Caenorhabditis elegans: one gene and its partners. The protein of the gene in region 2 interacts with the protein of the main gene of each other region in a pairwise test. Each region holds a gene or a part of one and is shown on either strand. Other genes may lie near its edges.

Evidence for each region.
Region 1: the proteins of R02F11.1 (region 2) and asp-5 interact in a two-hybrid assay, tested with the Caenorhabditis elegans proteins (one large-scale study listed by BioGRID).
Region 3: the proteins of R02F11.1 (region 2) and txt-6 interact in a two-hybrid assay, tested with the Caenorhabditis elegans proteins (one large-scale study listed by BioGRID).

What each region holds. Positions count from the first base shown.
Region 1 is NC_003283.11:8,270,472-8,274,544, forward strand, and holds asp-5 (Peptidase A1 domain-containing protein), read left to right. Parts: upstream 1-1,913; 5' UTR 1,914-1,915; coding exon 1,916-2,229; intron 2,230-2,275; coding exon 2,276-2,489; intron 2,490-2,781; coding exon 2,782-3,159; intron 3,160-3,241; coding exon 3,242-3,517; 3' UTR 3,518-3,573; downstream 3,574-4,073. Other genes in the region: asp-12 (Peptidase A1 domain-containing protein), read left to right, coding at 174-487, 536-749, 802-1,179, 1,256-1,537.
Region 2 is NC_003283.11:4,799,511-4,803,213, reverse strand, and holds R02F11.1 (CC domain-containing protein), read right to left. Parts: upstream 2,121-3,703; 5' UTR 2,067-2,120; coding exon 1,985-2,066; intron 1,941-1,984; coding exon 1,773-1,940; intron 1,085-1,772; coding exon 804-1,084; 3' UTR 530-803; downstream 1-529. Other genes in the region: R02F11.3 (Cation efflux protein cytoplasmic domain-containing protein), read left to right, coding at 133-294.
Region 3 is NC_003283.11:4,604,504-4,608,684, forward strand, and holds txt-6 (transcellular chaperone signaling (x)cross tissue), read right to left. Parts: upstream 2,426-4,181; 5' UTR 2,411-2,425; coding exon 2,263-2,410; intron 1,646-2,262; coding exon 1,527-1,645; intron 1,051-1,526; coding exon 916-1,050; intron 857-915; coding exon 584-856; 3' UTR 501-583; downstream 1-500. Other genes in the region: Y61A9LA.10 (Bms1-type G domain-containing protein), read right to left, coding at 2,709-2,837, 4,028-4,181.

The sequences.
Region 1 (4,073 bases), 3.5 Mb from region 2:
CAGTCTCGCACAAAAGTCAACCTAAATGATATTGTATTTCAAACAGTTGTTCGTTGAAAAACTAGTAGAATCAAGAAACAAACATGATTTCAACCAAAATTAATGAAACCTCTTTTATTTCAAAACACAACACGCACTGAAAACATCGAAATATTCAATAAATCTTTTCAGAAATGAAGACAACTCTTCTCGCTTTTGTAGCCATTCTTGGCATGTGCTCGGCAACTGTGGTTCAGCATAAATTGATCTATCGGGAATCGCCAAAGATGCAAATGATGAGGCGAGGAGAATGGGGAGCATACGTTCAACACAAGGCTGCCCTACGTGACGCCAATCCAGCTGTGTTCGCCAGTGCTCCACAAAATGTCAATGATTTTGGAGATGTTGAATACCTAGGAAATATCACGATTGGAACTCCTCCACAACAGTTTATTGTCGTCTTGGATACTGGTTCTGCGAATCTCTGGGTTCCAGGAAGTAACTGCGAGTCAGTAGCCACCTTACACAATGGTTTTTAAATTTTTATCATTTTCAGTGGAACATGCAAAGGAAAGAGCGAGTTTGACTCATCTAAATCTACAACATTCAAGAAAAACGGACAATCATGGCAAATTCAATACGAATCTGGAAGCGCTAAGGGAATCATGGGAGTAGATACTGTTGCTTTTGGTGGTGCTTCAGAACAACAACTTCTTGTCCCATCTACCACTTTCGGTATTGCCTCTCACATTTCGTCTAACTTTAAGAATGTAAGATCTATTTCCCAGATTATTTGATTCTTCATCGGAACGAAACTTTCAGGACGCTGCTGAAGGAATTCTCGGGCTTGCCTTCACATCTCTTGCAGTCGACGGAGTTACCCCACCACTGATCAACGCCATCAACAAGAAAATTCTCGATCAACCTCTGTTCACAGTCTTTTTAGAACATAAGGGAACGGCAAAGAATGTTGGAGGAGGTGTCTTCACCTACGGAGCCGTTGACACTACCAACTGCGGACCAGTGATTGCCTATCAACCACTTTCATCTGCCACGTATTATCAGTTTGTTGCTGATGGATTTAAGCTCGGATCATACTCAAACAATAAGAAATCTCAAGTGATTTCCGACACTGGAAGTTCGCTCATCGGAGGACCAAGTGCTGTGATAAATGGCTTCGCTCAAGCTTTGGGAGCAAAAGTGAGTATCAGTTTAATTTTGACTCGTTGTGAGGGACAAACAGTTTTTTTAATCTTTATATCTAAACCTTTTCCAGTACCACAGCGATGATGATGCTTACTACCTCCCATGCTCAACATCTAAGGGAACTTTGGACATTACTATCGGAGGAAATGTGTATTCTATTGAACCTGTCAACTATATCCTTGATGTTGGAATGGGTGACACTTGTGTCTTTGCTGCTTTCTCATTCGATTTCGGAGGATTCGGACCATCATGGATTTTCGGAGATCCTTTCATCCGTCAATACTGCAACATCTATGACATCGGACAACAGCGCATTGGTTTTGCCAAGTCTCTCCAGCCTTCTTCAAAATAAACTCTATGCAATGCGATTGTGAGAAATGAAAATGAATACTTCAATTTACTTTTCTTCAGTGTGTGATCTACGTGATTATGGTCAAAAGTCCAACTTATACATATCGTCATGTACACCTTATTTCTTTTTTCATTTTCTGGACAATTTTGTGAAGTGAAAACCCACGTCACAGACCGTTATCTGATTGAGTATAAATGATAAGAAATCATTGTCAACTCAAATAAAATAGGAATTTGTTAACTTGTAGTACGAATTCTCCTTATTCTTATCTATTTCATAGACTGAGCTGTTTCATTCGTATTACCTTTTTTCTGTGTTTTGTCAGCTTTTCCTACTATTTATAATTTAATGTTAACTTTCACGACCATTTTTCCAGGTATGAAGACCACTTTCGTAGCACTAGTTGCCCTTTTGGGCCTGTGCTCGGCAACCGTTGTCCAGCACAAGCTGATCTACCGTGAATCTATCAAGATGCAAATGATGAGACGTGGAGAATGGGGAGCATACGTCCAACACAAAGCTGCTCTTCGTGACGCTGACCCAGCTGTGTATGCCAATGCTCCACAAAACGTCAACGACTTTGGAGATTTCGAGTATCTCGGAAACATCACCATCGGAACTCCACCACAGCCATTCCTCGTTGTTTTGGACACCGGATCTTCAAACCTCTGGGTTCCAGGACCATCTTGCGAGTGAGTAAATCCTTGTTGTTTTTGATTTTTGATAATTATTTTCCAGTGGATCCTGCAAAGGAAAGAGAGAGTACCAATCAACAAAGTCCTCGACTTTCAAGGCCAACGGAAAGCCATGGCAGATTCAATACGGATCTGGAAACGCCAAGGGATACTTGGGAGAGGATACCGTTGCCTTTGGAGCCGTCACCGAGAAACAACTCCCAGTTCCATCTACCACTTTTGGAATTGCCACACACATTTCATCCGACTTCAAGAATGTAAGTTTATAGTGTAACAAGAACTAATGTATATTTCAAGTATCCGAAAATCTATTTTAACACATGTTTTTTTCCTTCTGTTTTTTTCATTTTCTGTAATTAGAAGGACAGAAAAATGTAAAGCAAACAGCTTTTTAGTGCCGATTTTTATGACGATGACTTTAAGAATGCATTTTTACGATCATTATCAGTTCAAACACAGTGGCAAAATTTAGGAATGCAAAAATTTATTGCAGCTAAAGTGCTTCTACTCACATGGAATAGTACACAGTGGGAATATTTTCTCTTTCAGGATGCCGCTGAGGGAATCCTCGGACTTGCTTTCACATCCCTCGCTGTCGACCATGTCGTTCCACCACTCATCAACGCTATCAACCAAGGACTTCTCGATCAACCACTTTTCACCGTGTGGCTTGAGCACAAGGGATCTGCCAACGATGTTGGAGGAGGTGTCTTCACCTACGGAGCAGTTGATACTACCAACTGCGGACCAGTGATTGCCTACCAACCACTTTCATCTGCCACATACTATCAATTCGTCGCTGATTCATTCAAGCTTGGATCCTATTCAAACTCTAAGAAATACCAAGTTATCTCCGACACTGGAACTTCCTTCCTCGGAGGACCAAAGGCTGTTGTTGCCGGGCTCGCTAGTGCTCTTGGAGCTACTGTAAGTTGTTGTTTGAGATTCCCGTAACTAAACATATTTTTATAAGTAAGAAGACATAAAAGAACAATTCCCATTCTTTCAGTACCACAGCAACGACGACTCCTACTATGTTCCATGCGCCACCAACATCGGAACCTTGGACATTACCATCGGAGGAAAGGTCTACTCAATTAACCCAGTCAACTACATCGTTGACGTTGGAATGGGAGACACCTGCGTCTTCGCTGCCTTCGCTTTTAACAACTTCGGATTCGGACCAGCTTGGATTCTCGGAGATCCATTCATCCGTCAATTCTGTAATATTTACGATATTGGAGGACAACGTATGGGATTCGCCAACTCCCTTCAGGCCAATTAGTTCTTCAAAACTTTTTTCTTGCGTGTTTAGAAAGAAATAAAGTTCATTGATGCCTATCAGATGTATTCTAGTTAGAAAGCTTCTAAAAAGTTCAATAAGAACATTTCTGTCACTTTCTTATTGATAAGCTTTTGATCAGTAATTTCCGATTCATTTTGTCGTAAGTACCACGGTACAAGACGTTTATTGGCTATTTCTATATTCAATTTTTATTTTATATTTTACATCACATGGTTCTGAAGCAGCTGTTTTTAAACATGACCTAGTTTTCCGAGAGTCAAAAAAAGTTGAAAATCTTCGACGTGGATCTTTTTTTGAAAATCAAGCTCTAGTGCCTCAAGACGTTCAAGATTTTCAAGACTCTGAATATATTGGGATAATCACTATTGGAAAGCCCTACCAATTGTTTAAAGTAGCAATTCAGACGGGGACATCTACATTGTGGATTCCAGCACCTGACAGCGAGTTGGTTTCGGTACCTTTTCGATTTTTAAAGAGCATCTTCTAATTTCTAGCACGTCGTGTAACGGTAAAACGCATTTCAACCCGAAAATAT
Region 2 (3,703 bases):
AGCCTAAGCCCAAGCCTAAGCCTAGGCCTAAACCTACACCTAGGCCTAACATAAGCCCGTATCGCACATTTCTGAAGAGGCTGAGCTTACAACTGAATTATTGTGCTACTCTAAAATCTGTAATATTTCCAGGTGCACATTGTGCTCGACGAGAATATGATCCTCAAAGAATCCCATGACATCAGTGAGACCCTCCAATCAAACATCGAAAGCTTGCCGGAAGTTGAACGTGCATTTGTTCATACAGACTATGATTATGATCATCATCCTCACGACGAGCATAAAATTGTTTGAATTAGTTATTATTAGAGCACATTTGCATTATGATTTTGTTTTTTTCTTCTTCCCAGTGCCCCCCTACTTTAAGTTTTATTTCATATTTTTCCGGTTTCATGACAGAAATCATCAGCATCTCTCAATGTTTTTTTTTCGCATAATTAACTATACTTTTTTTTGTTTGAAATTTTGAAAATTTTGATTTGCAAACTATAATATTTTTTCTCACATATCGTCGTAGAGTGTCAAATGTTTCTTTTTTTATTTCATTAATTAAAATAAAATAATAAATAAACAAATTAAATTTAAAAACAATTCAAATATTTTTTTGGGATTTCGTTTGTTGTTGATGTTGTTGTCTTGGTGGTGGGAACGATTCGTTTCAAATAGATTAGAATAATTTAAAAGGAGCAGAGAGTCAGAGAACGGAGAAGGAAAGTACAATATATTAAAAAAATATATAAAAATATAGAAAGACTGGGGGCAATTTGTCGCATGAAAAAAGGGAAAAATTGAATTCCATTTTTTTACTTTCCACTGCTCAAATAGCACAAGTTTCCAGCTCCACAGGTGTATCCAGTTGGGCAGACTCCGTTGACACATGATCCGAGGACTCCTCCGGATCCGAGTGGGCAACAGTAGTTGTTGGTGTTGCACATGAATCCGGTTGGGCAGACCTGGTTTACACATGGTCCCGTGCTGTTTCCGGATTGGCATCTGCAGCAGTAGTTGTTGCTCGAGCAGAAGAATCCTTGTCCGCAGAGTCCTCCGAGGCAGGCGGCGACGGCTGGTCCTCCGGAGCAGGCGGCTGAAATTTTTGTTGGAATTAGACGACTTTCCACACCCATATTTGAACTCGTTCTGATACGAGCTAAAGATAGAAAAAGATAGGTTCGTGCGTGTTGTCCAAACCGCGCCGACTTCGTGAGACACAGAGCACAGCAGCACGCACCGAGCAAACGCAAACACCCCGCGAAACTTCGCAAATATTTTGTATTTATGTTGAGCCGTATAAGAAGGTGTCTCCATCACCGCAAAAGGGACTAAGCAGCGTCTCCCCGGGAGTTGTAGCAATCATTAGGTAATCAGTGTGTGTGTTTGCTCGAACCGGAAGGGAACGGCGGGGACACTTGAGAAATTGGAACGGTGACTGGATTCTTGATATCTCTTGATATGATTTTGATAAGGTTTGAGGTTTGAACTAAGGGAGATCTAAATTTTAAAGGTGTCAGCATTCAACTTTTATCTCATATTCCTTACTAAAGGGTTAAAGGACGATGCGTTACTTAAGCGATATGAACGGATCTGGGTACACTGAACCTAGGGAAGCCAGGACTTGAACTCGTGACCTCTAGATTGCTAATTATCAATACTACCGACTGAGCTATCCCCGCTCCTAGTTTTTAATAATTGCGACGTTTTCTTTAACATCTCTGATTTATGAAAAAAAGCAATTTTTCAACTTCCTACACAACCTTCATATTAAAAAAACTTACTATCAAGGTTATTGTTTCCTGGGCAACAGCATCCTTGGACACAGACAGATGCGACAGAATATCTCTGGCACTGGGACGAGGAACTGCATGAGGAATAGCAATTGGATGGGCATCCAAACTGCCTCTTCTGACGGAATACTGTGGAGTTGGCTTCACGAATTTCTGGAGCTGAAAGTCGGATTTTAGGAGTTGAAGAGTGAGTGACAACATACCTTCTTTCGCGTCTTCTGCGTTCAGTACCCAGAAGCAGGCGAGGGGGAGGATAATGCAGAAGGAGATGGCGAGTTGCTTCATAATGAGTTATTTGAAGGTTTTAAGACAAGTAGGAACACCTGACCCTGCGCTGGCCTGAAATTTTAATAATAATAATAATATTATATCAGGAAACTAATAAAGATTCAGATAAATAATAAAGAGTAATATGTAAGTAAAACTGTAAAATTAGTAGGTAGAGTAAGGTAACTCAAAAATAAATCTGAAGATTTGTTCTCAAGGAGAAGCCCGATGGAGCAGCAAGACTAAATGGTCATTTGTACGTAACAGTGAGGAGAGAGGGGAGGGGACACTAACTGACCGTCTTCTCTTTTTCGTCTCCCTCCGACTTTCTGTGTTAGCTTAGACTCTGGCGCCTCCGCGCGGCGACGTGCTCTTTGCGCGCGGCACGAAACTCTCTCATTTCCCCCATCGGGCTCAGTCCAGTCTATGTGTTTGTAAAATGAAGTGGACGATTGATGTTCAAATACTTGAGTGACCCCACACACACACACACACATACACCAAAAGATTGTGAGCGCGCGCTTGTCAAAATGTCGTTCAACTTATCTTATCACGGTTGAAGCATATATAGAAACTTTCCAATTATATTCGGATTGCTAAGGTTTTTATGAAAAGCCCGGAGTCTGTGGTCAATGGAAAACATATAGCTTTCTAATAGTAAGAGCCTTTTGCTTCTTTAAATTTTTGCAATGCTTGATACTTAAATAGTAGTTAGGATGTTAGTTGATAGTTTTTTTAATGCTACAAGAAAAATTAGAATAGTTGAAAAAATGATTCCTACCGTATTTAGCATATTGGACATGAAACTCATTGATCTACTTAAGCGGCGTTTACTGTCTAACTGTAGATAAATATTTTGCACGTGTTTTGTCAGTTAATGACAGTTTTTTGATAGAACCGAAGGGAACAGAGATATAACAAAATAGAGCAAGGGTTGCATGTCTAATAGGGAAACTACGGTGTCTAGAAAATCTTAAAAACAGAGAACAGAGCAAAATCTGTTCCTGATGTGTGAGTAGCCGATTTGCCATCGGAAGAAAATTTGACTCTAAAGTGTCGGAGCACTGTGCTCTTTATACTCGGTGCACTCGAGTGGCAGCGGTGGCGTCAGAGAGACAGCGAGAGCTGCCGGGCCAACTGACCGGCAGGTAAGAGTATCCGGTTTTGGGATGCAACACACGCGGGTGGTGTAGACCACGGCCGGAGACGGGAAGCCATCATCCTTGAAGAGGCAACTTCTCAGAGAGAAAGTGAGCACATAATACACCTCCATTATGAGAGCACAACTCTCTTTTTTTCCCAACACTCGTCCAAACGCGGTTTAAAAAAAACACGTGGAATATGCTTTGTGACGTCTGGGAATTATTGGAACAAGAAACATGGAAGTCATGCGAGAGTCTTCGAACAACTTAAGATGTACGCATAATGTCTCAGTGGAGACATCGCGATCGAGGTCCGGACACAATGAACCAGTGGTGGCCGCCAGCAATCTAGAGGTCACCAGTTCAAGTCCTACCTCCCACTAGGTCCATCCAGCCTTAAGTGGGAAGTAGAGCAATCCACGACTGGACTATTGGTCACAGTCCCCGGCTCGAACAAGGCTTAAATTGGAGCTGGACTGCTGTGTCTGACCTTTAGATACGCAGAAAAAGCTC
Region 3 (4,181 bases), 200 kb from region 2:
ACAATTTCGAAAATATAATGTTCGTAATTATTAACAAGTTTGTGTTGTCTCAGAGCCATGTCTGAAAAAACAGATTTTTTTTCGAAAATTATAAAAAGCTCGTAGAAATTCGGTTTTTGACAAATCTATACTCAATTTTTTTGTTTGAAATTTAGTTCAGTGACATACAATTTCGAAAATATAATGTTCGGTATTATTTATAAGTTTGTGTTGTCTCAGAGCCATGTCTGAAAAAACAGATTTTTTTTCGAAAATTATAAAAAGCTCGTAGAAATTCGGTTTTTGACAAATCTATACTCAATTTTTTTGTTTGAAATTTAGTTCAGTGACATACAATTTCGAAAATATAATGTTCGTAATTATTTATAAGTTTGTGTTGTCTCAGAGCCATGTCTGAAAAAACAGATTATATTTTCGAAATTGTATGTCACTGAACTAAATTTCAAACAAAAAAAGAGAGCATAGATTTTTGTGAATTCAGTCGGCAAGTAGCAGTGAAATAAGTCAAAAAAGGTTTATTCTAATCTCAATTTCAGCAATAGAAAAGGCCTATGTAGTAATAAAACAGAAAATCAGCGAAAAATTAGTCTTTAACATCGAGAACTTTCACTTCAGCATCCTTCCTGTCTTGTTCTGCCAAGAATTTATTGAGCTTTGTCTTCGACTCCTCCATCTCTTCGACTGTCTCAAACCGTTCCGACTCATCAATACTATTTTTGAGCACTGGTGACGTGCGTGGAGCAATAAATTGGCTATTAACCATTGCGTAGGCAATTCCAATGTTAACACCGTCAACGGCTCCCTGGAATCGGCGCCAGTACCATCCGATGAATCCGCACACGAGGACGGCGCGATCCTGAAAAAAAAATGATTAGTAAATTTTGAGTTTTGGAAGTAAAATTATGAGGCAATTACTAGTGAAAGAGTCTCAGCGTTACATCTGATCGAATAACATCTATTCTTCAATTCACTGTCAGTTGTTCCAGATAAATGGGTCTCGAGACGACTTAGAAATGGAGCAGTGATGAGCCCGGCGATGAGGAAGCGACCCTGGAAAAAATTATTTTTTGGAGACAAATGACGTCATTAATTTGCAAATTTTGAATTATTTTCAAAAACCACAAAAAAAAGCGATTTACTGAAAAACTCATAAATTTACTTTTTTTTCCAAAAAAATTACACTCGATATTATAAAAATAGCACAATTTTAGTCAAATTATTAAAGTTTTTTATTTATTTATTTATTTATTTTAATGTATATTTCTTGTTTTTTTTTACAGGAAAATTCTTAAATTTTACGTTTTTGTTCCATTTTAAATAGGTTTGAATATTGAATTTTTTCTTTCAAAAAAACAATTTTTTTCGTGTTTTTGGAGAACAATTATTCGCTTTTTTTCGAAAAAAAAAAGAGCAAAAAATAGTGCAATTTTGGCCAAAATATTAACCGAAAAAACTGGGAATTTTATAAAAAAGTTTTTAGCTATTTTTCTTTTTTTTCCCAGAAAAACCAGTTTTTTCGAATTCACCTGCAATTTCCTGCAAGCATTTTTGATGATTTTTTCCGAATTTGGCGTCATCAATTTCGGATTCAATTTTCTCGAAAGATACCAACGATAGAGAGGATGTGCAACAAGACCACCTGAAACTGTATTTAGTGATTTTCAAATAAAAAACGACGAAGTTTTTCGGAAATTTTTTTTTTAAATAATAGGGTTTCCTAATTTTTTTCCAGAAAAATGAACAAAATTAGTTTTAAAATAATTTTAAATGAAAATAAAAATATTGTTTTTTGAAACATAGCCTACAATTTTTTCTTTTTTTTTTGAAAAGAAAATCTTTTTTTTTTTTGAAAAATTCCAATTTTTGTAATTTTATTTTCTTTTTTTTTTCGATTTTTTCTACACAGAAGTTATTTTTTTCTGTAAAAAATCAATTTTAATATATTCTTTCTGCGGAAAATCCTTTTTTTTAAATTATCCCTGAAAAAAAAATCATTTTTTCTCGATTTTTTTCTGAAAAAAATTTAAGTTTTTAATCTTTTTCTGGAAATAAAATCTTTTTGCTGAGAAAAATAAATGCTTTAATATTTTTTCACAAAAAAATTTATTTGTCTATTATTTCTGGCACAAAAACCTTTGTTAATATTCTATCTGAAAAAATATATTTTTTTCGAATTTTTTAAATATTTTTTTTGAAGTAAAATCTTTTTTTTAATTTTCTGGAAAAAAAATCAATTTTTTCCGTGAAAAGTTGCCATTTTACCTATCACACTCATCACTTCGGCAGCCTTGAAAGTCGCGAAAATCGCATATTCCACGTGTGGCCTCGGGATATCAGCCAGTGATTGAGCTGTGATCCATCGACTGGAAATTTGTGAAAAGTTGGCAAACCACGCCTCTAAACCAATCATTTTCCGCGAGAATCTAGAGAGCATTTAGGTGTGAGCATATATTAATTTAGGCAGAGAAATTTGGAAAAAATACTTTAAAAAATAAATAGTTTTGACGCGAGTACTTCTAAAATATGCAAGAAAATAGAGAAAAAACTTAATTTTTAATTTTTAGAGAAAAATTAAGAAGGAACAATTAACAAAAAACGATGATGATGGAGTAAAACAGTAAAACAACAAAAACCAAAAAACAAAGAAACAAAAAATTTTCAAAAATAAAAATTAACAATTTAGCAGATAAATTCCAGATTCCAGAGCTTCAGGAGCTGCTCGCCGATGAGCCAAGAGCCTTTCGAAGTTTTGCTTGTTCCTTCTTCGATAAGACTCTGCTGATGTCCTTCTTTCGAGATTTAATGCTCTTTTCGCGTTTTGCCTCACTTTCGGCCATCTGGAATTTTCAAAAAAGTTAAAATTTGAAATAAAGTTTTTAACCTTTTTTAAAAAGTTTTATTCTAAGAAAATCGGATTTTTTTTGAAAATTAGCAAAAATTCCATGTTTTATCAATGTTTGTTTATATATTTTATAAATTAGTTTTCTAGAAATATGGTTTTTAAAAATGTCTTGAAGAATATTTTTCGACCAATCGGGAATTTCAACGATTTTTTAAAAACAAAAATGTTTCCTTTGTAATTTGAAAAAAATTGAGAAACAAAACATTTTCGATTTTTTCTTGAAAAGTTTTCGTTAAATCTAAAATCGATACACTTTTCGATTTTTTTTTAATAGAAAATCGAAAATTTTCAATTTTTTATACTTAAATTAAATTAAAAACGAAAAAAATACGAATATTTGTTGAAAATCGAATCACGAAAATTGGTGGATTTATTAAAATGAAAGTCGAAATTATTTTTGTAATCCTTTGAAAATTAAACAAACCGATCTATTTTCTTTTTTTTATCGAAAATTTTCGAGTTTTTTTTCTAAAAGTCGAAAATTTGGAACAATCAAAATTTGTAATTTTAGCATTAAAAAATTTGTTCAATTCGTTGTTTTCTTTTTTTTAAATTGCAAATATTTCGATTTTTCGGAAAAAACTTTTTTTGAAAAACGATTAATTTTAGATTTTTTTTTTAAATCAAAAACGAAATTTTTTTGTTTTTTTTTCTAATTAAAGACAAAAAGTTTACGATTATTAGTTTAAAATGGAAAAAAAAACGAAAATTGTTAGACTTTTAAATGAAAATAGAACAATTAATTTTTTGAATATCGTAAAAAAACGAATTGTTAAATTTTTAATTTTCTTCAAATTGAAAAACGAGAAACAATTTTTTTTTGAATATCAAAAATCAATAAAAAATTCAAAAAACTAAATTTGTTCAATTTTTCGATTTTTTTTTTGAAAAACGGTATTTTGAAAATCGAAGAATTTTTTGTTTTTTGAAAAACTAAATATTTCTATAAAATATTCAAAAAAAAAACCAAATTTGTTCGATTTTTATTGAAAACATAGAAAAAAATTTTTTAATTTGTTTTTTTTGTGAAAAATCTAAACCTGTAATTTTTAGCATTAAAAAATTTGTTCAATTTTTTATTTTTCTTGCAAATATTCAAAATTTCCTGCAAAAAAAAAGCAACACCTCTTCAGCCTTTCTCTTCTTATATCCTTCCTTAATATTCTCCTGCTTCTTCAAATCAACATCATTCAACGTTCTCAACATATCCATAAATCTCTCTCGTTTCGCCTCTTCCGGTTCCAACACCACTGCCGTATGCCGTGCAACAAGTGAATCC